Schizosaccharomyces pombe: one gene and its partners. The protein of the gene in region 3 binds, or shares a complex with, the protein of the main gene of each other region. Each region holds a gene or a part of one and is shown on either strand. Other genes may lie near its edges.

What was found.
Region 1: tif303 (region 3) and sum1 share a complex: the UniProt entries of both Schizosaccharomyces pombe proteins name them as parts of the eukaryotic translation initiation factor 3 (eIF-3) complex.
Region 2: tif303 (region 3) and int6 share a complex: the UniProt entries of both Schizosaccharomyces pombe proteins name them as parts of the eukaryotic translation initiation factor 3 (eIF-3) complex.
Region 4: tif303 (region 3) and tif301 share a complex: the UniProt entries of both Schizosaccharomyces pombe proteins name them as parts of the eukaryotic translation initiation factor 3 (eIF-3) complex.

Annotation. Positions count from the first base shown.
Region 1 is NC_003424.3:5,356,053-5,361,492, reverse strand, and holds sum1 (translation initiation factor eIF3i), read right to left. Parts: upstream 2,570-5,440; 5' UTR 2,538-2,569; coding exon 2,475-2,537; exon of another isoform or gene 2,420-2,474; coding exon 2,299-2,419; exon of another isoform or gene 1,943-2,298; coding exon 1,140-1,942; 3' UTR 989-1,139; downstream 1-988. Other genes in the region: met8 (siroheme synthase), read left to right, coding at 162-921; rer2 (cis-prenyltransferase), read left to right, coding at 3,094-3,300, 3,413-3,672, 3,719-3,935, 3,991-4,101; F-box/WD repeat protein Pop2, read right to left, coding at 4,251-5,440. UniProt on the Schizosaccharomyces pombe protein: Component of the eukaryotic translation initiation factor 3 (eIF-3) complex, which is involved in protein synthesis of a specialized repertoire of mRNAs and, together with other initiation factors, stimulates binding of mRNA and methionyl-tRNAi to the 40S ribosome.
Region 2 is NC_003423.3:937,218-942,678, forward strand, and holds int6 (translation initiation factor), read right to left. Parts: upstream 3,092-5,461; 5' UTR 3,045-3,091; coding exon 3,011-3,044; intron 2,955-3,010; coding exon 1,483-2,954; 3' UTR 1,404-1,482; downstream 1-1,403. Other genes in the region: oss1 (oxysterol binding protein), read right to left, coding at 1-874; U3 snoRNP protein Nop56, read right to left, coding at 3,608-5,101. UniProt on the Schizosaccharomyces pombe protein: Component of the eukaryotic translation initiation factor 3 (eIF-3) complex, which is involved in protein synthesis of a specialized repertoire of mRNAs and, together with other initiation factors, stimulates binding of mRNA and methionyl-tRNAi to the 40S ribosome.
Region 3 is NC_003424.3:2,579,600-2,586,174, forward strand, and holds tif303 (translation initiation factor eIF3c), read right to left. Parts: upstream 3,391-6,575; 5' UTR 3,378-3,390; coding exon 621-3,377; 3' UTR 501-620; downstream 1-500. Other genes in the region: tom6 (uncharacterized protein), read left to right, coding at 4,264-4,303, 4,342-4,448; serine/threonine protein kinase Ppk15, read left to right, coding at 6,156-6,344, 6,392-6,575. UniProt on the Schizosaccharomyces pombe protein: Component of the eukaryotic translation initiation factor 3 (eIF-3) complex, which is involved in protein synthesis of a specialized repertoire of mRNAs and, together with other initiation factors, stimulates binding of mRNA and methionyl-tRNAi to the 40S ribosome.
Region 4 is NC_003423.3:3,311,776-3,318,691, reverse strand, and holds tif301 (translation initiation factor eIF3a), read right to left. Parts: upstream 4,362-6,916; 5' UTR 4,355-4,361; coding exon 4,316-4,354; intron 4,271-4,315; coding exon 1,511-4,270; 3' UTR 1,240-1,510; downstream 1-1,239. Other genes in the region: DNA primase large subunit Spp2, read right to left, coding at 1-290, 490-685, 744-909; histone acetyltransferase complex subunit Nto1, read left to right, coding at 5,812-6,916. UniProt on the Schizosaccharomyces pombe protein: RNA-binding component of the eukaryotic translation initiation factor 3 (eIF-3) complex, which is involved in protein synthesis of a specialized repertoire of mRNAs and, together with other initiation factors, stimulates binding of mRNA and methionyl-tRNAi to the 40S ribosome.

The DNA of each region.
Region 1 (5,440 bases), 2.8 Mb from region 3:
CATCTTTATGAAGTTACAAGGCTCTATAAATCATTTTCAGCTTTTTAGTATCTTAACTTTCATCTACACAGAATTGAAAAATTAGCAAAGCATACAAAATGAAAGCTAGCAAAGTTTTTTGATGTATCTCAAGGTAATTTTTAGGCTAATCTAAGCTTTAGATCATTAATTATTGCTTGGCGTGCACAAGGTAAAAAAGTATTAATTGTTGGAGGTGGCGTTGTGGCAGCTGGGCGTATATTGCATGTTTTGAATGCGGATGCCCATGTTATCGTTGTAAGTCCAAAAGCTGGTCTTTGTAAAGAAGTGGCTTGGAGAATACAGGAGAAGCAAGTTGAATGGCGAGACAGGGGATTTCTAGTCGAAGATTTGTCTGACGATGTAAACATGGTACTTACAGCCATAGATGATCCCAGCTTGTCTTCCGAAATTTATAAGTTATGCAAAAGCAAAAAAATCCCGGTCAATGCGGCGGATATTCCACCTGAATGTGATTTCTACTTTGGGTCTGAAATCCGTAACGGCCCTCTACAAATTATGGTTAGCACCAATGGTAAAGGTCCAAAACTTGCCAGTTTAATACGAAAAAAAATCGAAAGTTCAATCAATCCAGCTACTGGTATGGCATTGGAAAAAACTGGCCTTTTACGACAAAAATTACGAGACATTGTTCCCGAACCTGAAAACAGTCGCAAAAGAATGAGATGGATGATTGAGATTTGCGAACTGTGGTCTTTGGAGGAACTTGCCATGCTCGACGAAAATCTCATCAACCGACTTTTGGGATACTTCCCAAAAAAAACACCTAGTTATCGAGAAATAACGACTCCAGCCTACAGCAAGATAGACAACTACATATGGTTTGGAGCAATTATAATTTCTGGGGCTGTTCTCCTCAAACATGTTTCAAAAGCTCGTTAAAAGAAGCGTTTGATAAGTTAGTTGCTTTACGGAATATGACAATTACATTACTTTTCACTTTAAAACATTTGAATTTTGAATGGAATTTATTAAAAAACTCTTGTACTCATAGAAGGTTATTTTTCATATAATGCTCCCTAAACGAAAATGATACATCTTTGGAAAAAAGTTCCGTTGTCCATTACTATACTATCAACAGTTTTTTGAATAAAATTAACCTACAATGTATACTTGAAGTCAAAGTAGTTTTTATCGAAGAAGTGCACCCGAACATAACCATCTTCTCCACCACTAGCATAACCGGTTCCTTTGGGATGGACAGCTATTGTGTTGATAGGACCGAAATGACCCTTAACGCGGCCTAACTCTTCTTCTAAAATCGCATGATAAAAACGTGCTTCAAATTTACCCTGTCTAGCAGCAGTAGTAGTAACATCACGGGCTTCTTGACCACCTCCTAAAATAACGAAGTCTTGGACAGGAGTAAAACTAGAAGTATTAAGAGGCGTATCAGTAAGGTATGTTTTGATGACTTCAAAAGAATCAACATCAATAGCTTTAGCAGTCGTATCCTTGCAAGAAGTGATGAAGTAAGTACGATCAGGATAAAACTGAAGATCAGTAATAGTAGAACCAGAATTATGAACTTGTTTAGATTCAACGAATTCTCCGGTTATAGCATCGTATCTGGAAACGGAGCCATCTTCATGACCAGTAAAGAGAAACTTGCTCAAGTAAGACCATCCAGCGACCGTTGCTTTAGATTCACGAGTAGTAATAACGTAAAGGGGGGTTTCAGCAGCGGCATCGCTTTCCGAAATAGGAACACGGAAAACAGTGACGGTACCAGCATAACCCATACGTTCCTCGGTAACAGCAAGAATACGGGTATCATCTTCGTTGAACTCAACACGTTTGACAGCAGTAGGAAATTCCCACTTGTACAACTGCTTTCCTGTTTTAACATCCCAAAGACGCATGGTATTGTCAGCGGCTCCACTAACCATTAAAGTGCTACTTTCTGTTTCAGTTAGTAACCATTGGAAAAGGAACAGATGATCTAGTTGGATTTGAGGCATCAAGAAGAAGGAAAAGGATTTAAAAGAAGTTTAAATGCTTTCCACGAGGAAGTGAAGTGAGGTAAACGTAGCATTAATATAAGTAAAGGAGATGCACCATGCATATTTAACTTTAAGTACTACGCCAACTCAGAATCGTGGATCACGAGTATAACCATCTGCAATCGGACGACTAATAAAAAAAATACATTTATTAGAGTCATGATATGTTTCATTATTCGTGTTTCCTTATACTTCCATAATCCGTATACCTTTAGATGTCTTAATCCAACATACATCACCACCAATTTTCACGTACTATTAATATCACAAGTCCAAATTGCACCAGTATGACCCTCATATGTACCTAGGCGTTCACCATTGTGTGAAAACCAGACATTAATCACTTTATCCTTGGCACATGAGAATAATAAATCACCCTACACACAAAAATTAGTAAATTTTCCACATATAATGGACGGTTATTAAACCTACATCGTGATTATATTTTATTTGAGTCAAAGGACGCTCATGACCCTGTAAAATGATAGGCCTCATCTTTTGAACAGGAAAGTGCTGGTAGAGGGTTTGAGCGAAAAGTCTTTAGTTGTAATATTTTGATTCTAATTAGCGTAACTTAAGGATGGTATTAAAAATAAGGAGGCTTAACGACACTCTTAAATGAACTGGCTTCATTTCTGAGACACTTGCGTTAGACTAGTTAGACCCAAAGGTCGCACGTCTCACTTTGAAAACAGTATTTTGTGGTTTTGTTTGAATTTTGTCTGTCTTACTTATTTGTACAAAAAATAATATTTCTTTCGTGATTTTTAAAAAAAAATACAAAAGCGTTTGGTCTTAAACTAGCGTCTCTTTGTTCCATTCGTTTACGATTGAAAGTATATTTCCTTAGCTAAAAATCCTTTTCTAGCGTGCTTGGTAATTATACTTATAAAACATATCTAGAACCGGATAACCTGAGTGTTTTATAGAAGCGTCAAAAACATCTAATCGTTTTTTGAAAATAATTGTTTATCAAGATAATTATTTCTCTTTGATATTTAGCGTGCATTTATAAAGGAAAAGAAAAGAATTGACAAAATATCTTGACAATATGGGTAATTTATCAGGCTGGTTTATTCACTGTCCTCCATTACAATGGACACTTGATCAATTAGAAACGATGATGATAAATACAATTAAACGTGGCAAAGTACCACAACACATAGCCTTTGTAATGGATGGCAATCGACGGTGGGCTCGTCAAAGAAGGATGGAAACTATCGAGGGTCATAGCTCAGGTTTTGAAGCTTTAAAATCTGTAAGTTTAAAGAACATTAATAGAAGGTTAAACGTACCGTTTCTCCATGTTTTGCGCATTGGTATCCGTCTACGTTCTGCACAATTTGGTACATTAACTAACCCTGCGTAAGCTATTAAAAGTGTGTCTGAAGTTAGGAGTTAAAGAAGTATCGGCTTTCACATTCTCCATTGAAAATTTTAAGCGATCTAAATATGAAGTTGATATGTTAATGGAGATTGCAAAAAACAGCTTAACGCAAATTACTGCTCATGGTGATTTGGTTGATCAGTATGGGATCCGTATTCGCATTGTTGGCGATCTTAGCAGGTTGCAACCTGACGTTTTAGAAACTGCTCTAAAGGCTGTGGAAATTACAAAACATAACACAAAGTATGTGAAATTTTTCAAATTTTTATTTTGCTAATTGACATCTTAGGGCAACATTAAATGTTTGCTTTCCATACACTTCTCGACATGAAATTGCTACTTCTGTGCAATCAATAGTAAAAATGGCAGAAGATGGTACAATCACTCCAGAAGATATAGATGAAGATATATTTGAAAAAAACCTATTGATAAAAGATAGTCTTCCTTTAGACTTGTTGATTCGCACTAGCGGTGTGGAGCGTCTATCTGATTTTATGTTATGGCAGGTAAGTAAAAATTCTCCTAATTTTCTAGTCAAAGATATTCAACTAATTTTATCAGTGTCACAAAAATACGGAGATAAAATTCATCGATTTCTACTGGCCGGATTTTTCTATCTGGAAGTTTTTCCCAATGTTAATTCAATACCAGTTACAAAACCAACCAGCATAATTTATTCAATCCTTCGTTACTTATTTACTTTTGATAGGCTTTGGCTGTTAATTTTACATTGTATACATTTAATATGTGTTAGTAGCTGATGTAAATAGTTAGACACTACTCTAATTATGTCTTCTTAAATATTGTTAAAATGAAACTTTCTACGGTCTTGATCCGGAAAAATTAATAACTTCCAAATATGCTTGATCATCACGCTGCACTGCAGCCACACAACGCATAGCATCAAAATCGACATGCCATATTTTTGTGAGGTCTGTTAATAGAAAACGTAACAGCTTTCCAGTCCTAACATCCCATAACTTTACAGAACCATCATTACCACTAATAATTTTGTGTTCATCTGACACAAAGCTACTAATGTAGCCTGAATTAGACGGCAAAACCATTAATGGTTTCCCAGTATTCAAATCCCATATTCTAATTGTGGAGTCAGCAGAACCTGATATCAACCTATTCTGGAATACATTAAGAAGCGTAACAAAGGCATCATGGCCTTCAAGCACATATTTACAAGTCCCTGTCGATAAATCCCAAACCCTAATGGACTTATCCATGCTACCGCTTATGCAAATATTCCTTTCTGGTTCATATAAAACACTATATATACGAAGACTATGACCCCGCAGATGGTAAAGACATTCCCCTGTTGAAACTCTCCAAATGCGAATTGAAGAATCATAACTCCCACTCACAAGTATATCACCATAGCCGGATATAGTTCGTACAGAGTCTGTATGTCCTATCAAAGTATGTACAAAATACGGGTTCTTCTCCCAACGGTCAATAGAGTTTGTATTATCTGGAAGATAAGGAGGATCCGTGTTTTTTGGAAGCTTCCAAACCCGAAGTGTATGATCCCGAGAGCCGCTGACAATGTACGGTTGATCTGGTTCAACAATTTCAACTCCATGGCGAATAAGACGACTCGGAACTAAGATCTCTAAGCATCTGATGATGGAAATATGTCCCCTAAATATGTGCGTACATTTAGCTTTCTCTATGTTCCAAACGCGAACAGTTTTATCGATCGAACCAGATACAAGTGTATTCTCATGTATTTTGACAGCCCAAACACCTTCTTTATGACCCTCTAATCGAGCTTCTAAAACACCGGTAATAGCATTATGAATTTGAATTGTTCCAGATCCCGAAGTGGTGATTATTCTGTCTTTATGAAGTAGTAAAGAAGTTATCATAAAGTTTGGAACATGAATGGGAAAAGATAGATGACTTGGAGGTATCGAAGGAAATAACCATCGTTTTCTATTGAGAAAATGTCTTTTGAAAATTTCCGGAAAATAGTCATCTGAGATTTGGTCGTTGTGCAAAA
Region 2 (5,461 bases), on a different chromosome or scaffold from region 3:
CGCCAGCGCAAACCTTAAAAGAAGTTCCAGTAAATCCAACAGCAATTTGATCCTGACCGTATACTTCAATGCCCTTAGAAGGGCAAGTAACATAAAAAGCACTTACAGCAGGATGATGTGAGGTTTGTTCCGCCATAAAGACTATAGAATGTTTTGATTTCTGAGAGGAAGAAAGGTGCTCATTATTTGATTCAGCGGTGCTAGGTGCTGTTGAAGAACGATCATTGCTTGAATCTTGATTCGATTCAGATTTAGAATTTTTTTTGGAAGATTTCTTCTTAGAAGTCTTCGTGGAAGACTTTGTCATGGTAGATGCAACGCTTTGGCTGGACGTTGTACGGGAGGCCTTTGGCCTATATGATTTACCAAGTGGGAATTTGGTGGTTTCGGAATATTCCGTCTTGTATGTAGGTAGTTGAGAAGAATCTGGATCTAATGTATGATCTTCTCTTACTGTAGGATCTGTTACGACCCATTTGCACCGGAAAAATTCACCAAGCACAGAGTTGTAAGGCTTTACCACACGACCACGAACAAAACGAAGGTCCTTTGTAAACCACCAACGCAATACGCCCAACATTCTTTCAAGTTCGTCATCAGAATCGCCCATGACTGCAAAGTAGTCAGGTCGATCAACATAGTTCCAGTACTCCAAGTTTCCAACAGGCTCTAACAATTGTGCAGGTAAACTAAAGCGAAGACTAGCAATATCCTTCACACCAATGCATTGTTTCAATATGGAAAGAACTAGCTTGAATTTTCCTTCTTCTTTCTGATAACCCTCTACTTCTCCATCATCCCTGACTAGTTCCGTAGGGTTTTCAACTTGAATAGGTTCATTTTCTTTTTTTATTGCTTGATTAGGATTTGGCATCTTTAGGTCCTGGTCCTACTACTGACCAAAAATCTATTCTTTTCAAGAGATATCTTTGCGTTGATAAATGTTGGTGGCACGGAAACGGATGCTGTCTCAAGCTTTCGTGGTGTACTGGTTTGATATGAAATTTAAACACCAAACTTACATATTAGTTGTAGCGAGTCTTTCGATTAAATTACGGTAATACCGTTGCAGCATCGTTTATTTATCTATCAATTAGGGAAATTTAATTTAATGCAATTGGATTAGTATTATTACAGCAATTTAATATATACATAAGTTAATTCCACCGACACATTTTCTACATGTTGAGATAGCGGCATTAATACTTTTGCATTAATTATTTATTTTTTATGCACTTCAGAAAATAAAAAAATTTTAGATAATATATATTTTTTTAATATCCCCGCATGTTTCAAATTTCCAAAATTAATATACTAATAGCGATATTCAATGAGCACGTTTCTTTAAATAGGAAAGTACACAGTCATCTTCTACAATAACGAGTTGTTTGAAAATACAAAATTAGCGAATTAATTAAACTCCTATGTTTTATTTTTAATGTATGAAATATATTCCACCTTTAAACTATTTGCTAATCTTGTCTAAACAGTAGCATGCTTTAACTCCGAAATGCTTTTAGCAAGAGATTGCTCCAAGTTTTGACTTTCAAAACTTAATGACTTTGTACGGTCTATAATCTGTTGGAAAGCTGAATAAGTAGGGTGTTCAATTATTATTGATTCACCGTCCAACTTAGCTTTAAACCCAAATTGTACCTCGGGTTCGGGCTCTTCGGCTTCAGTAGCAGTTTCGGCTTCCGTGATTAAATCATCAGCAACAACATTTGTAGAGGTAGATTCAATACTTTCATCTTCAGTACTTTGATCGGCAGCTACATTAGAAGCTGCGGCAACTGAAGGATTATTACGGTTTTCAACAAGTTGTATTAATTGAGCACTGTCCATTTCCAGCTTGTTAGCAAGCACATCAACACTTATGACACTGTGAATACGGCAATATGCCTCAGCAAGTAATTTGCGAGCACCTTCCAAAAAGTGATCGCACAAAGATACGAGAAAAAAGTCGGTTTTCAAAACCTCTTCACATTCTCTGAGGCAATGCTGAGCTTTTTCAAAGTCGACCTCAGTATACAAAGCAGAAATAAAAGAGGTCACAGGATCGCTGTATTCATAGTTTTCTTGGCTAATGATGCGTACGAGATCTCGCATCCTTCTTTGATAAGATTGCCTAGGGTTACGAGGTTTTTGATTTGCATTATTTTGGTTAGTAACAACAGCGACAGTCAAATATCTTAATAGCCAGGGACAAGAGGTTTGGATGGTGTTGAGATAAGGAGTATAGAAGAACAAATCACAAAGAGTATCACAACCATTTGCATGATTAAACAAAGGAAACAAGGACCAGTGGAGGAGCCAAGTTCGATTTCTCAATTGAACAGCAGAATCTTTAAAGCTTTTGGAGTCCACCATTTCGCGAAGTTTTCCCAATTCCTCCATAGCCCCATCCCAATCAACAGTCAAAATTTCAGAAGCAAATTTACCCCAGGTCGCGGAGGCGTTTAATTCAGGGTCTTTACTGAAGGCACGAAAATGATAAAGTAAATCTGATGCACCACCGTAGTTTCCACAATTATATTGAAATTGAGCAAACTTGTAAAGAACAGCTATACGTTCAGGGGTAATGTTGTAATGTTCTTGTAGGTGTTGTAAATTTTGACCTTTATCTTGACGAAGAGCTGCAATCAAGTCAGGATTTTCTAAGACACCTAAAATTCCTTGAACCTCTTCTTCAAGTTCAGAGAGCTCTTGCAAAACACTGCGTCGCTTTTCAGCAAAAGCATTTGCCATGTCCTCGTCGGTATGACCCCCATGAAGATTAGTCCACAAGTTGGCCACATAATCAGTCATATTGGTATCTTTAAGCAAATCATACTTAGCTTGTAAAAGCTCCTTTGGATCATGAGTCTGTCTTAAAGATAAAAATTCCAATAGAGGAAAAATGAGATGGCGGTCAAGGTGTTGCATAATTTTTTGCGACAAATCATACTTGACCGCTATAAAGGTTAGAAAACATTCTCCTGTATTTAAAAATAAATCTAAATTAGCTTACCTAAAGGGCTTGTACTCTTAAGCTCGGATCCCATATCTGATATGTTTCACGCAAAAAAAAAGTGCGTGGTGTGGGGAGGATAGCACAACTCACCCAAAACTCTAGTAGTAGCCCCCTTAGACTACAGTACTGAAAAGCAATATGACAATAGTAGGTCAGCAATGTTCGTACAAAAAATATTAAATTCCTTAATGATATTTTTGCTTTTTTTAACCAATAGTTTTTCATAAAACTAATTAAGCTCGAACTTACTACCAGCTAATGTAAATCAATGTGTAAGACAAATTTTTATCCGATTCTTGATCTTTACTTAAATTGTAATTATTGTCAAATACTGGTTTCTAATATTTTTTTAACTTTCGATATAAATAGCACTTCTTATACGAATAATACATAAATGCTACTTAATAAAATGTAAATGCTTACTAAGAGATAAGTTTTACACGTCCATCCATCAAAATGATAAGCTCGATATCAATCGATTTAGTAATATTACAGTATTTACGCCCATAATCTATAGCAAATTTTTCAATTACAAGTTGTTCTAAATATGCAAGAGCAATATGGTCCCCGTTATATCCTAATAAAAATAACGTCTCAATGGCTCTTCTTTTTCTTCTTACTTTTCTTGACTTCTTCTGATGCATCATCGGCAGAACGCTTTTTCTTAGACTTCTCCTTTTTCTTCTCCTTCTTGTCTTTCTTTTCTTTCTTGCTCGGCTTTTCTGAAATGGTTTCAACAGTCTCTTCAACGTCAATGTCAACCTCCTCGTCTCCGTCTATGTTAACACTCGATAATGCCTTTTCATAAGCTTCTGCCATTGCAATACTATTGCGAGTAGGGGCGACACCGGTATCGAAAAAGTTGAGACGTTCCTCGACTTGTCGACGAAGAACTTGACCAAATGCCGTAGTTGGGGCATCGCTAAAGTTATCAATACGGCTAGCAATAGAACATTTGTTAGCCAAGAAACGAGAGATGCGGCCTTTGTTTTTAGCGCCAGCTTTTCCAATAAAACTAGAATGGTAAATAATACCGTATTTAGGCGTGTTTCCACGGGTTTTCAGAGCACGGAACAAAGCCTTTTCAGCACCTAGAATCTGTACCGTAGAAGCCGGGCATTTTGACAAGTTAGTTAGACTTCCGGCATGAGAAATCAAACGAGCACCAACCATCTCACCAATTAATTCAGCAAGATTGGGAGCAACAACATTCATCTTCTGAACCAAATAGTTATGTAGCTGTTTACGATAATTACTAAGTTTAATAACACGTTCAGCAAAAGATAGAATATTCTCGAGGTCAATTTCAGAGATATCTTGTCCCATAGACACTTTACCAGCGTTGATTATACTTTGAGCAATATCTTTGTCATCGTCTACAACGGCTGCCAGATCATGAAGCATTTCGTCGTTAATGGTGGTTTTATCACCAACCAGTGTAACAATAACAGCGTATTTGTAATTGTCTCCAACGATCTTCGAAAGCTCAGGGAAATGCCAAGAATACCACTCTTTCATGCGCATAGCGAAAGTATTAATGTCCTTGTCAAGTTGATCAAGGATAGCAATAGCTTGGATAATCATGTTGTCATTTCTGTTAACATTGAACTTCACTTTTGCGCGAGAGTATGAATGTCCTAAACCAAGCTGAGCCCTTTCGAAATCACCGGGTGATAGTTGCTTGAGAAGTTTATCACCATGAAAACGAATACCACGGAGAAGATCCTGGGTAAGCTCAGAAGTGTCACATTCAATGGCATCAATTTCGGATTTAATAGACGTTGCTAAATTTTTGTCTTGGACTCCCAGAGACACCTTTTTCTTCTTTGAGGCTTTCGGCAAATTGAGTTCCAAAAAGTTTTTCAAAAAATCATTCAAAACGCCTTCAGAAATGTCGTTGGCATTTTCCAAAGCATGGGCAGCATTTTTAAAAGGAATAAAACTTCTAAGCTGCACCACTTTACCAAATTTTGAAATATCCTGAAGAGACAACTGCACTTCCTTTGTCTTCGCTGCTATTTGATCAGCTCCAACGACATCAAAAAGGGAATACCCTGTCGCAGACTCATACAACAAGTAATCAGCCATTCTTCACTTGTAGTACTTCACGCCGCAATTCTGACTCGGCGTTAGTGCTGTGGGTGAAAATTTGTGCGAACTATTCAAAAGTTTGATGTATTTTTTTTAACGTAGTTTATGATAGGGTATAGTAACCTACATTAAATTAATTTTGAAGCGATTTGATTCAGCAATACTAAACAACGCTATTTTACACTACGTTGTGTATCACTATATGTCACATGTCGTATTTATTCATCATGCCATCTTTGACGATACCGAGATTGAACTTAATGATAACCTATTAATATTTTATATTGTATTGATACTGCAAATAAATATTCCGTTGAACCTCATTCCTCAGTTCATTTATAAGCGATAATAGTGATA
Region 3 (6,575 bases):
AACATTGATAAAAAAATTCTTATAAAGTTTCCCTCATTTTTAGAAATAATATGAAACTTATCGCAGTTGACTTCGTTAGAGGTTTACCATTCAAGATCGTGTGAATGTATTGTGTAAGGATTGTTATGCTTAATACGACTTCAGAAGTATTCAATAGAATTTCAGAACTCTTGTTTAGAGGTTCAACAACACAATTAGAGATACTTCGTTCAGTAATAGATTTTTTAAAGAAAACAACTTCAAACCATACACCGATAGATTGAGCTCGTACTAGCGACCAAAAATTCGATTACACACATCATGTCTGTTTTCAGTCGATGGAAAAAAGGCGACCATATGAAACTGAAGAACAAAGCTTGCAGAAATAGCTTACTGTAAACGTGTATAATGGTCAACAGATTCAGACTTTCGAAGCAAAGTATCTTTACAATTGAAGATAATTACCAAACGGTAAACTACATTATTTCCGATTAACGTTTGTAACAAAACCACTATGAAGTAACTCAGATGTCTATTGATCTATGGAAACCACCTGATAGTTAAATACTTTCTTCAAAGACAAATAGTCATTCATTTTATTGAAATTAGATCGCCCTATTTTTCACCGATGCACAACAACTTTAATTCATGTCTGAACGATTCCGATTTTCGGTGCGTTCATTGCGTCTTTTAACCGAGCCACCCTTATCACGACGTCTGTTCTCCTGAGGATTAGTGTGTTGGGTCTTCTGCTCATATAGCTTTTCATTTGCCTCATTCAATTGTGCAGTTTTCTCGCTAAGAGAAACAGTCAAGCTTTCCAGCTTGTTAATCTCAACACGTTCAAAAATGATGGCACCGTGAACTTGATCAAGAGCAGCATGGATCTCACGTTTAGATAATAACCGAGAAACAATAACAGTAACACGCTGAACAGGAAGATCAAATGTCGTAGCCAAAAATTCAAGAGAAACAGAATCGTAAAAAGCAGCATATGCTAATAAGTATGTACGTAGTCCCTCTTCCCGAATCTTCTCACTAAGCATTTGCTTAATTTTGTCAGCATCAGGCATTAAGCTCCAAATCTTAATAGCATGAATAAATTCTTCACAACGACGCCATTCACCATCTGCCAATGCTTTCGAAGCTTGCATTATATACTCGCGGGTATTTTCAGGAGGACCAACGAAAAGCTGACGATCAATGTATTCAAGCATACGACGGAAGGGTCGGCTGATTACACGCTTTCTAGAATCTGAAGCAGTAGAGCTAGCAGCTGCCATTGCGGGAATCTCCATCAACATAGAACAAGTCAAGTAAACACATTCAAGCAGTTCTAGATTTATGTGCATATGGAAAGGTAAAACCAACTGCTTATCCAAACGATCCTGATCAGGTGTAAATTGTCCAAACTTTGGTGCTTGTATGCCTTGTCCAAGGAGTTCCTTTACACGACCAGTAGTAGAGATGTCTTGAAGAGCATACTGTGTTTCTTGAACCATACCGTTGCGGAAAGCACACAAACCAATTTGAACCATAGTGCGATTGTGTAAAATTTGAGTAGCAATGTCGGCAGCATGCACGCTATCTTGTAAATGCGACATAAGTAACATATCACGAGCCTTGTAAAAACGATTTTGCAATGCTTCATGATAAATATGACACAGCATAGCACGGGTACGAAGTAAACTGACACCATTATTATAAAGATAGACACATAGGGAATGGATTAAAATATCAGGAGTCGTAGTCGTGGCACGAGGAGTAATTGTAAGATCAAAAGTAGGAGGGAAAGAACGCCAAGCAACCTCCTCATTAGCGCGAATTACTTGTTCAGGCTTGTAATAGACGCGATCAAGACGGCGCATGATCAATCGAGCAGTATTTTCAACCACCCCAATTCGCTCAAGGTAACCTTGGCTTCTGACAAGAAGGGTATAAAGTGACGTTTCATCCTTCAGACGGTCAATATATTCAGGAGTATGAGGATCAATCATTTGAAGAGAACGAGTAAATTCATCATCCAATCGTTCTAAGAAAGAGACTACACTACCTTGAACTTGTATGACTCCATTATTATTTTCCGCCGCAGCTATCGCTTCCTCCTCTTCTTCATTTTCATCTTCTACCTGTTCAACAATAACAATTTTGGGGTTTGCATCAAAGATGTCAAGAATACTGTGTAACTCAGTAAGAGCGGCATTCCATTGATCAATAGGCATGTATTGTCCAGAGCCAGTGTTTATATCGAATCTAACCGCCAATAGGGCAACTTTAACGCGAAGACGTTGATAATCAGTTACGGCTATAGTCGAGAGTTTTTCTAGTAAACGAATTTGTTCAGAACGGTCAGTGCTTTTCTTACCGCGAGCTTCGAAAATAGCTCTGAGATACTTGAAAATATCTGCAGGTGTAATTTCTTCTGGTTTTCCTAAGCCCTCAGTAGGTGCAACTATACCACGAGTAGCTACACCATCAACAATAACTTCATCTTGCCCAGCCTTACCGGCAGGCTTGGGAATTTCGTTTAATTCTGCTGGCTTCATGAAACCTTCAGGATCCTTACGGTATCTATCAATATCACTTTGAAACTGACGGTTGTTTTTACGAACACGCTGTTTTAAAGCGTTGAACGCACGGCCGTTAGCAGCATCCAAACTTTTGATAAAGGCCTTATCAGCGGACTCGAGTTTTTGATCAAGAGCAGACAAGAATTCGATGTACGGAGGAGGATTTCTGCCGGCCTCTTTGCATTTTTGAGATACTTTGTTCAAATGATCAAATTCATTAGAAACAACAATCCAGTTGTTTGAACTCATAGCGTTTTTAATAGTTTCCATGCAGCTAATAAACTCTTCATAGCGTTTATCTTTAGCACTTTTAACAACACGACGACCCTCTTCCTCATCACTACTTTCCTCGCTGCTTTCACCACGGAGAAACTTAAGACCAGCGGGTTTGGCCTCTTCTTTTTCGGGTTTCTTTAAGAAACTAGAAGGGCCAGAACGTTCAGATTCATCAGATTCCTCTTCAGATTCAGATTCCTCCTCAGACTCAGACTCGGACTCAGACTCGGACTCAGATTCATCAGAAACTTCGCTATCCTCTTCGGATTCAGTCTCTTCTTCCTCTTCTGAGCTTTCAGAGTCAGATTCAGAGTCTTCGGAAGCAGCCACGGCCTTTTTCTTGGGAACCTCTACTTCTGACTCTTCGCTTTCAGACTCTTCTTCAGATGATTCGGACTCCGAACTGGATGCGCTTTCCTCTTCACTTGATTCTTCTTCAGATGAAGAGTCATCTTGTTTCTTCAACCTTGAAGAGGTTAAACGGTTTTCTTCAGAGGAGTCAACGGATTCTGCATCGCTGTCGCTAGAGCCTCCCTTGAAGAATCTCGACATGTTGGTGGTTGGCAAGTTTTTTTTCGTGCAGCAGTCAAAGGAAGGGTGAGGACCCCCTTCCACCTTTTTGAAAGAGGTATGTTATCGTTAATAATATTTTGTGTCCGTTAAAGTGGATTAACGTAATTTGTTATTTAATAAATTTATCCAAAACTGTCGGCAATGAAAGTTTAGAAAACTAAGAAGCATGGGGTTTATCGATTTTGACTTGATAGAATGTCATGATTCTTTATAAGCAATTTCGTATCACAAATACACTCAGAAATCATTAACGCAGTTGCGGGACAAAAACTGTACATAATCAGCGTCAGGTTGTTTATAGAATTACTTTTGATGAATGAAATACGCTGAACAATTTAATTATGAGGAAGTGATTATATTTTCCATCTAACCAAGTGTATACTCACTTTGCTTCCTTGTCGCAAGCAATTATCTGCTTAGCAATTAATAATCCGAAAAAAATAATCGTTTATTTATTGAAAGTTTTAATTGTCTAAATATTGATGCTCTTGAGATGTACATTTGTTAAGAAAATGAATTAAATTATTCTAACCCCTCCCCCGAAAAAAAAATGAAAAAATACTAAAAAAGATAATGATTATGGAAAATTTTAAAGGAAAAAATTTGTTTCCGCAGCGCTACTCTTGATTATTTCGTAAGACCAAGTAAACTAAATATAAAGCGTTTTGTCTTAAAAAACTATTGCAGTATAGAATGTTTCCTCTACTGCAAAACAAAATCCATACAGCTAGCTCTTAGGGTTATCAATTAGGGTTATTGAAGCCATACATTTTACCTGATCACTGTTTATGGCAGCGATCACAGTCATGTTAAATTACGTTACAAGTCGGTATTTAGCCACGTTCCTTCAACCACTTAGTCAAAAATGGATCGCATTTCTGCTCAAAAAGATATTTTCAAAAAGGGTATGTCCCTGTAAAACTATTAATTTAACATCTTTTAGTCGTCAATAAGGAAAACTCTTCCATTTTCGTGAGTCTTGGCGTATTTGCAGTTTCTGTAGCCATCTTGAAATCCAGACTGGGAAACTTTTTGGTACCACAATTGTAAATGGATGTTTGAATTTCACGGACTAAACGTCTTCAGCTTTGGATTCAGAAAAATATTACTTCATAACGTTGTATGGTTGTTTCATAAATAAAATGAACTCCCAGTTTCAATAAAGGTTCAAAGCTAAACAACATATATCTTTCATGAATATCATTGTGCTTTGTAATTTTTGTTAGCGATCTAAAATTTGAAATATTTATGTTATCTAGTGTCATGCGAAGTACGTAGGAGCATTAGTTGGTAGGAACATTTTTACATATAAGCTAGTTCGATTCTGATATCTTGCGTCTATTTATGTTTCCTTAGATGTTTGAAGTCAATAACCAATATTCGTCCATTCACTACAGATTTTTGTGTGAACATTGGACTAGGAACCATTTCGTTTGTCGTTTATGCGAAAATTTTTATGTACGAATGTAGTCGGCGTGGAGAATGTTTTAACAACGACTCCTTCATTTACAGATAGATGCCAAACAAGAAACGTTTTTCCTCCTTTTAATATCCAACCGGTTACATGGTTGTGCAACATCCAAATATACTAAGTATGGAGAATATCCGTTTTTTCGAAAAATTGCTACTATTCTGAATTAAGGATGCGTACTATTGGTAAACATTGCGCTTGATGTTTCGAATAAGCCTTTCAATGGAAGTTGTTTCTTATTTATCGCGGTTATTGGTATAGACGGATGTTTTGCACCAAATTCATTCGTCTTTTCAAATACGAATTGATTTCGTTGTGGAGAGTAAGAGCAGGAACCTTAATGTAAGCGAAATTATCGCCTTCTTAAGTCATGTCACGGAAACCTGAAACAATATTTAATTATTTAATTGGGATCTAAGATCCAACTATTTAATAATATAAGAATCAAAAGATCCTCTTCTAGTAACTTTTTCTTGTATTTTTTTGCAAGCCAAAGTTTTAATGACGGCCTTTTAATTCATTGATACACTCTATTACGTAATAGATTGAAAATCAGTAAAACTGATTAAGGCATAGCAAGCAATTGTACTTTATTTCAGTCATCGTCAGCGCCGTTACACGCGGCTCACTACAAAGCGGTGTGTCGTCATCCCTTTCCTTCAGATTCCTCTCTATCCTTTAACCAAGCCGCTTTTTTTGGTTAAATCCTTCATCTTTCAATAAATTGCGAAATCTCTCAGTGTTGTTTTTCGTATAAATTTGTAATTTATACGGTGGAGTTGATTAGTTATTCGTTCAACTCGCACTGTGCATATTTATCGGCTTATTTTAGTGAATATTTTCGATTTTCTGCCGAATATTATATTTGTATTTGTAGCTACACGCTATAAACAAGAAAATTAGAAGATTCCTCCAAATTCATATTTTAAGCTTCATATCCACAAGTGTTTCCCTTTGTTCCAGATCGAGATTATCGTAAGCGAAACTAGCTCTTTGTCAGTTGTTCCATTAAATTGATTAGCCGGTTGGTGCGTTCATTTCAAACTCTTTGACTTTTTTCCTTTAAAGCACTTCTTTTTTAGATTCCTTTGGTTAATCTGTCAACTACTACTTTGTAAATAGTATAACTTGTGGTTCCTTTTTGCACTGTTGTGCATCGACTCACGTTCCAAGAGATCACTATTTTACGTTACTTTAAAGTGATTCGAGTGTGAATGAAGGCACTCGTATTCTGCCTATACTGATATATTCTTTGCAATACTTTACAAAAAGGCGTCTCTATTCATATGGATTCGGATTCGCCCATTCTTCCATTATCGAACAATCCTCCTGCTGCGAGGACTCATGATCACTCGCAGCGTAATAATCATGCTCGTCATGTCTCGTCTTCTGGAACAACTTTGTTTGCTCCTGTCAAACCGGCAACCAAGAAATACAATTACAGAAGGGTGTCTCCCCATGGAAGCTATATTAGCGTACGAAATTTTTTACTTGCTCTGCATTTTACTAATTAAACATATAGCCCTTAGAAGCAATGACTGTGAAACTAGCTGATACATATTCAATTTGTAATCCAAAATTCCAGTTTTCTTCCGAACAAAACCCTCGGAGACCACTCACCAAACCCAGTGAAGGAGTTCACAACCATGGTTTTGATAACGTCAATCATGATTATGTATTGTATGTTAACGATTTGCTAGGAACGG
Region 4 (6,916 bases), on a different chromosome or scaffold from region 3:
GTTCCGAAAATGGTACGTAAGCGTATCCCTTGTGAACGAAAACAGCCCTTCGTTCTACTAAATCCGGAACTTTAAAAAAAGGTACTTTGAAGAAAGATTCGTTTTCTATATTTCTTTGAGAAGAAGCCTGTAGCTTTTCATAAAAAACGTCTTTTTCTTCTTGTGAAACAGATTCCCATTGAAAATCAAGACTATCTATAAACGCTTGACGTTCTCGGGTTTCCTCATTCACAAATCGAAACCGAAATAACGTGGATTCAGCTCTTAAAAACCTGATTCGTAATTCATCACTAATGAATGCGTTAGGAAAAGAATAAAAGCAAGTTTAAATGTATTCATATATATAATGCTTTCTGTTTAACTGAAGCAGCAAATTGATACCCACTTTATGTTCAATTTACTACTTATGCCATAACGCGAACGCATTTATAAGTCTAAATGAGATATTTTTCGACAGACAGCACTCAAATATAGCACATTTTTACTTACGATCTGCTGAAAGCCAGGCGCAGAATGAAATGAGAATAATGATCTTTCCTTCTTTCTTCATCTAAGGAGTTTCCTTTTACAGTCCTAGCCATGTTGCTACTCATCGGCAGACGTTTATCCAGTATCTTTTTTATAATCCCGTTCAATTCATTTTTCGTCTTATTGCGGAGCATTGCTGACTCAATTTCACCCAAAACTAAATAGTTAGCTTACTCCAAAAGAATAGAAAATAATAAAGAAAATGGAAAGCATACCAACTAATCGGTCTATTGCCCATGTTTCAAACTCTTCAATGCTTATTTCAGAGACAGGAGGTTTCTTATAAAAATTAAGTCGCGTAGGATAACTTAAACTCTCAAAACTAGCACTAGAAAAATTTTGATTCTTTTCAACTACTCGACTTTTGGTCGTTCTGAACATGGTGGTTAGCGAAGAGTCTATTTGCGGTAACAAATTGTCGTGCCTCTCACCAAGAAACCTTTTTACTTTGAGTGTCTTTAAACAAATATTTTAAGCTGCTTAACCTTTTTGGTACTAATACAAAACACGTTGCTAATAATTAATGAATTATTTCTTCACTCGTTGTATTCAGAATTATTGAAATGAGAAATGCATACTACAGAAACGTCAACTGTAAAAACTCATCGTCGCTTATAAACTTGACATGTAACATCTTTATTCGATTAGTATCGTTCTACATTTACAATTAACAAGTCAAGCTTTAAGCAGTATTATACAAATTAAAAAAAGTTCAAAGGTTAACGATAATTATCTATTAAATAGAGCTACAAAAGGCTCTTTTTATACACATAACCGCTTTCATGAATTCCAATAGCATGAAAGTAACCAACTACCCTTGTAAGAAAAAGGAACTTACAACTTTCAATAGGAGAACACATTAGTTCATTTAAATTTATCAGCTGTGACATTAGATAATGCATCGTAAAGACTTGACTCCAATATCCAATTGCGACAATAATTAATTGTCGACAGGTTTATTTTCTTATAGACAGTAGGTTTACTACTGTTGTTGTTGATTACGTCTGCTTGGTGGAACATATGCTCCCTTAGAAGGAGCAAGGGTCTCACGAGGAGGAACAGAACCACGAGAGTAGCCACCACGAGAATACCTTGGAGAGTCTCGTGAAACACCGCCAGCACTAGCACCGCCGCGCCTCCAAGCACCAGGACTAGGTGAAGATGCGCCAATATTTGCTCTTCTAGCAGCTGCTTTCTCGGCAAGCTTACGAGATATTTCTTCATCACGCTCTTGCTGAATACGTCTTTGGCGTTCCAATTTCTCAGCCATTTCGCGCTGTTCGCGTTCTTTAGCTTCTCTAGCTGCACGAGTTCTTTCCTCGATAGCACGTTTTTGAGCTTCTTCTTGCTCATGAAGCTCACGGTTTGCCTCTTCCTCAGCAGCACGAGCAGCCTCCTCTTCAGCTTCGCGAATAGCCTCAGCCAATTTTTGTTCGAAAATTTCTTTACGTTGCCTTTCGCGCTCTGCATCAATGACATTTTTAGCTTTGGCGTATGCCTCCTGATATGCTTTATCACGTTCATCGTCAATATTTTGCTTATAGGCATGAATATAGGAAGCAAATTGAGCAAAAGCCTTTTTGTCTTTAATGGCTTGTTCATGCTTACGCTCTTGTACTTCCTTGCGTTGTTTCTCCCTCTCGTAAAAGATTTCGCGGTCATGTTCGGCTTGTTGTTTTGCGTCTTCTTCCCACAATGGGATAGCTTCACGACGATAAGCACGTTCCAAATGGTCGATACGCTTTCCAATAACACGCAAACGTTCGTTCATACTCTTATTTTGCTTTTCGACTTGTTCGATTTGCATAGCTCTCAATTTATCAGCATCCAAATGCTCCAAGTCTTCGGCATTGACTTCCAATCCACCCTTAGCTTTGAGCTCCTCGGCCAACTTTTTAGCTTCGTTAATGCGAATAGCTTCCTTCTCACGACGAATCCTTTCAGCATTACGTTTATTAATTTCTTCTTGAACGCGGAGAGACTCGGCTTCAGATTCTTGCTTTTGTTTGAGAGCGCGTTGAGCAGCAAGCTCAGCTTCACGTTGAGTAGCAAGTGTATCAGCCTGTCCACGACGTAATTCGAGAAGACTACGCTGAGCAATGACCGCTTTACGCTCCTGTTCAACACCAGCCTGAGCCCTTTCGTAGGCAGCCTCGGCTTGTTGCTTGCGTAAAAGGCAGAAATCGGTATCAAAACGCATCAAAACACTAGAAAGGGATTTGGCAATCCGCGTAAGTTGAGATGTAATTAATTCAGATGGAGTAGATTGAAGAGAAACAGAATCCGAAGACTTAATGGGATTAGAAAACAAGTCAGAAGAAAAGCTAATGGAATTTTCAATATGGTTCAAACGAATAGAAAATGCACCTTTCTTGTTACCATTCATAATGAATTTCTCAATTTGACCAGGGTTAAAATCGTAAGGCTCCTCGAATGTAGCAAGGTCCATAACATATTTCAATGAAATGGAATCATAAACTTGAGACAGTTGTTGGAAAAGACGAGTAAGAATAACCTGTTGTAAAGGACGAATGTATTGAGCAGTATCATTACTTTCTGCCAATCTTTTGATGATAGGCTGAAGTTTTTTGCAAATGCTCAATGGATGAAACTCAACTTCCAAAATCTGGTACAAATCACGGATAGCCTGATCACAGAAAGAAAGAACGCCACGAGAAATGGCATCCTTAATTAATGTTTCACGCGTAGGTGTTTTCGATAAGTTTAACAAAAGAGCCAAACGAGCATTCTTGCTCTTGGCATCTTCTGCCTCAATGGAAGGGCCCGATAATTTGTTGGCATCAATAATAGGGATAGAGAGAGCGCTTAAAATTACAAAATTAGCAGTAGCGGGTTTTTGCACATTTGTAAATGTGAAGTACCTATTCCAAGCTGCAGCATGAAGCAAATAATTATCACAAACCAAAAAGATTTTAATCAATTTACGGTAATAATTGCCAAGCATGACTGCAGCAGGAGCCCTCTTAGAGAACGTAAGCAAGCTGTGAATGTCTTCAATGGATCGGAAAGCTTCCTGCCAGAGTTCAAGCTCAACAGCAACGTTTAGCTGAGAGAAACGCATGTCCAGATGACGCTGCATAGTTTCAGCATCATTCAAGTTAATAGAGTGTGGAGCGTTTGAAAATTTAGAAGCATTGCCAAGATGGGACCGAAGGAGTTCACATAGACGGCGAAATTCGGTTTTACGCTGATACTTGAGGCAAAATTGGAATGCAGAGTTAGCAATTAACTGATACATTACTTCTAAACGAGCATTATTACGCAAAATATCAAGAACTGTACGATAAGCATCCCACAAAAATTTCAACCATGGAGTGACCAAAGCACGGTCTGTGCGGCTCTTGGAAAGGTCTCCCGAAACCAAAGACATCATGATGCTCTCGGGAGTTTCAGTAGCCTCAAGATCGTCAACATATTCAACTGATATCTTGTCTGCCTTCTCCTGAGCTTCTTGAACTCTTTTATTAGCAAGTTCAATAAAATGCTTGACTACATTCTCAATAGCGGTAACTGAGGTGTTTTGAACTGCGTTCTTGTAGGTGTACAAGCCTTCCTTTGCAATTTTTCCTTTGCGTAAATGAACACAAAGTTCGATGAAACGCATCATAATAGGCTCGAGAGAAAACCCCTGCGCGTTTCTTGATCTTTTCAAAACTATAGTCTCATGAAGAGATTGCAGTGCTGAGCTGTGCTGATCTAGAGCTATCAGCTCATCGGCAAGCTAATTTATGTTAGTCAAAGTAAGTAAAAAACTCATAATACATACCCTTAGCACATTTTCGGGCTTTCCTTGAGGAGGTGCCATGTTGTGCAGTTGAAAACTTCCCCCTTGTCGTAGTAAAATTTTATTACACGAATAGCGAGCTACCTCGCAGTTTTATATAAGCCACTAAACAAGAGGTACTTAATTCTTGATTTTGCAAAAAAAAATGTTAGCACATGCATATATATATAGTTAGTTGTTCATATCTTTCTTAGGTTTGACTTGAATAAGCATCACTTTTTGTGCAAAGAAATTAGTGGTTTACCGAATACGATAATATGACTAAATTTGAATAGATCGCCTAGTGTGAAGTGCTAACATACTCGTTAATCTATCATGTTTGTTTAAAAAATACCAGTTCAGTTTAGAACAGAGGAAAGCTCTATTTTTGCTTTTATTTGAACGTTTATGGGATAGTAGTCAGATTTTTCTGTTGCCGCTACTAATTACTATCGTTACACAATGTACATCCAAGAAATATTAGTACCGTTATAGTTTTGGAATTTTAGCCGTAGATCTGTTTCTACGCTAATCACCAAGTCCATTCTTTGTTTGATGTATTTGGTGATAAAACTAGTTAGTTCTTAAAATAATCTTTATTGCCGTTGAGTCGATACTCGCTTGAGTTCCTCATCAGGGCTTATGCATTGTTTTATACTTGTAGCATTGTCTAAACTCTTATTTACAATTGGCAACAAACTTATATAAACGTTGAGACCTTACCAGTGAAAGAAGTGTGGTTTGAGCGAAATATTTTCCGAGCCAATCTAAAATTTAAAGTGTTATCCTTGAAAAGTAGCAGAAACTCGCATTACTTTTACTCAAAGCTTGAATAAAGGAAGAAAGATTTAGCGAATATAGTTTGTCAAAGTATTATAATAAAGAGGTCATAACCCTATGTATTCCGAAAGATTTTTTTGTTAAAAAACGCTAAGTCCTCAATCTCTTCGACGCTAGGTAAACTCTAGAGGCCCATTTTGATGAAGCAATTTAATTGTGATTGGTGTAAATGTTAGACTTCTAGAAGAATAAACTAAGTGAAGTATTCGTTGATGGCGGGTACAAAAATATTAGCTTATAAACTATTCACAAAGATTCTTGAAAGGGCTTTTTATCAAGCATCTCGAAAATCTTTGTACTTTCACATCAACTGTATATAATTGTAACTCTTACATTTCCGTAAAATGCAAAATCACGCTTTCCAATTTCCTCTGGTTTTCTTTGAAAACAACACCAATAAATATAAAAAGAGAAAGAACGGGAAGAATAAATTTACCCCTTCCTATGTCCAAACTATTTTCATTTCAGAGTTCAACTGTTTACAATCATCTTTTTATTTCGGTCATTCACGTTACCCCCGCTTATTCTGCTTAATCATCAGCGGCAGAATGCACTATTGAAGTTTAAGCAAAATTGCACCTTTTTCTCGTAAATATAGTTACACCATGAAAGAAATGTAAAAAAGATAGTATGGTAAATCTATCTTGTAAAAGGCTTTCATGCAAACCTTCCGACTTACTTCTACTGGTCGAAATATTCTAAGACCCGATGAACTTGCTTTTCAGCCGAGAGAAGAGATTCCCTATAAATCTTTCCATCCAGACCTACAAATAGACGAACCTTTGGAAATATTAGAAGGTGACCATACACAATATGCAGGCCTTCGTGATTCTTTAGTAACCTATAAATCCGAGAATTCTTATGTGCTTAAAGCTTTGCTCAATGCCAAGATCGAAAACGTAAAGCCAGTAGGTGTTCAAACGGAAAATATTAATCCACAAGAGAAAAAATTTGGATATAAAACTGCGAAACAATTAGATTGGAGTCCAGACGAATATTTCAAGTTCGTTGCTATACATCCTTACTCAAAAACGTCCTTTCCTGTATCCTACGACTTGGATGAGTTAGACACAATGTGGTTAACATATTATAATGAGTTTCAACTTTCATCTAATTCAGAGTGGGAAAATGTTTCTAAAGAATTTTTAGAAATAGTTCTTACCATTATTGAACGCGAATGGCTTTATCTAGAGGCTTGGATGCCTAAGATTGAACCCGTCAGAGTGGAGGATGAACTAGATGGTCGTTGTGTTATTTGTAATGAAGCAGAATGCGAAAACAGTAATGCTATAGTTTTTTGCGATAACTGTAACACTTCTGTTCACCAGAATTGTTATGGAATCCCTTTTGTTCCAGAGGGTCAATGGTTTTGTAAGAAATGTTTACTAGCCCCTCATGAAGTTATATGCTGTGCTTTTTGTCCTGACAGAGATGGTGCGTTTTGCACAACCTTGGATGGACGTTGGTGCCACACAATTTGCGCCATAGCAATCCCTGAAATATCTTTTCACGACACTAGTAGATTAGACTTGGTTCGAAACATTGCTTCAATCCCAAAGTCTCGCTGGAAATTGGTGTGTTGCATTTGTAAACTTCGATGGGGTACTTGTGTGCAATGCTCAGATAAAAATTGTTATGCAGCTTACCATATAACTTGTGCTCGACGTGCAGGTTTTTTTTACAAAATATACTCACATTCTGCAAGTTATGATAGTGTTGATATGGAAACTTATTGTGATAAACATACTCCACCCGATTATTTAA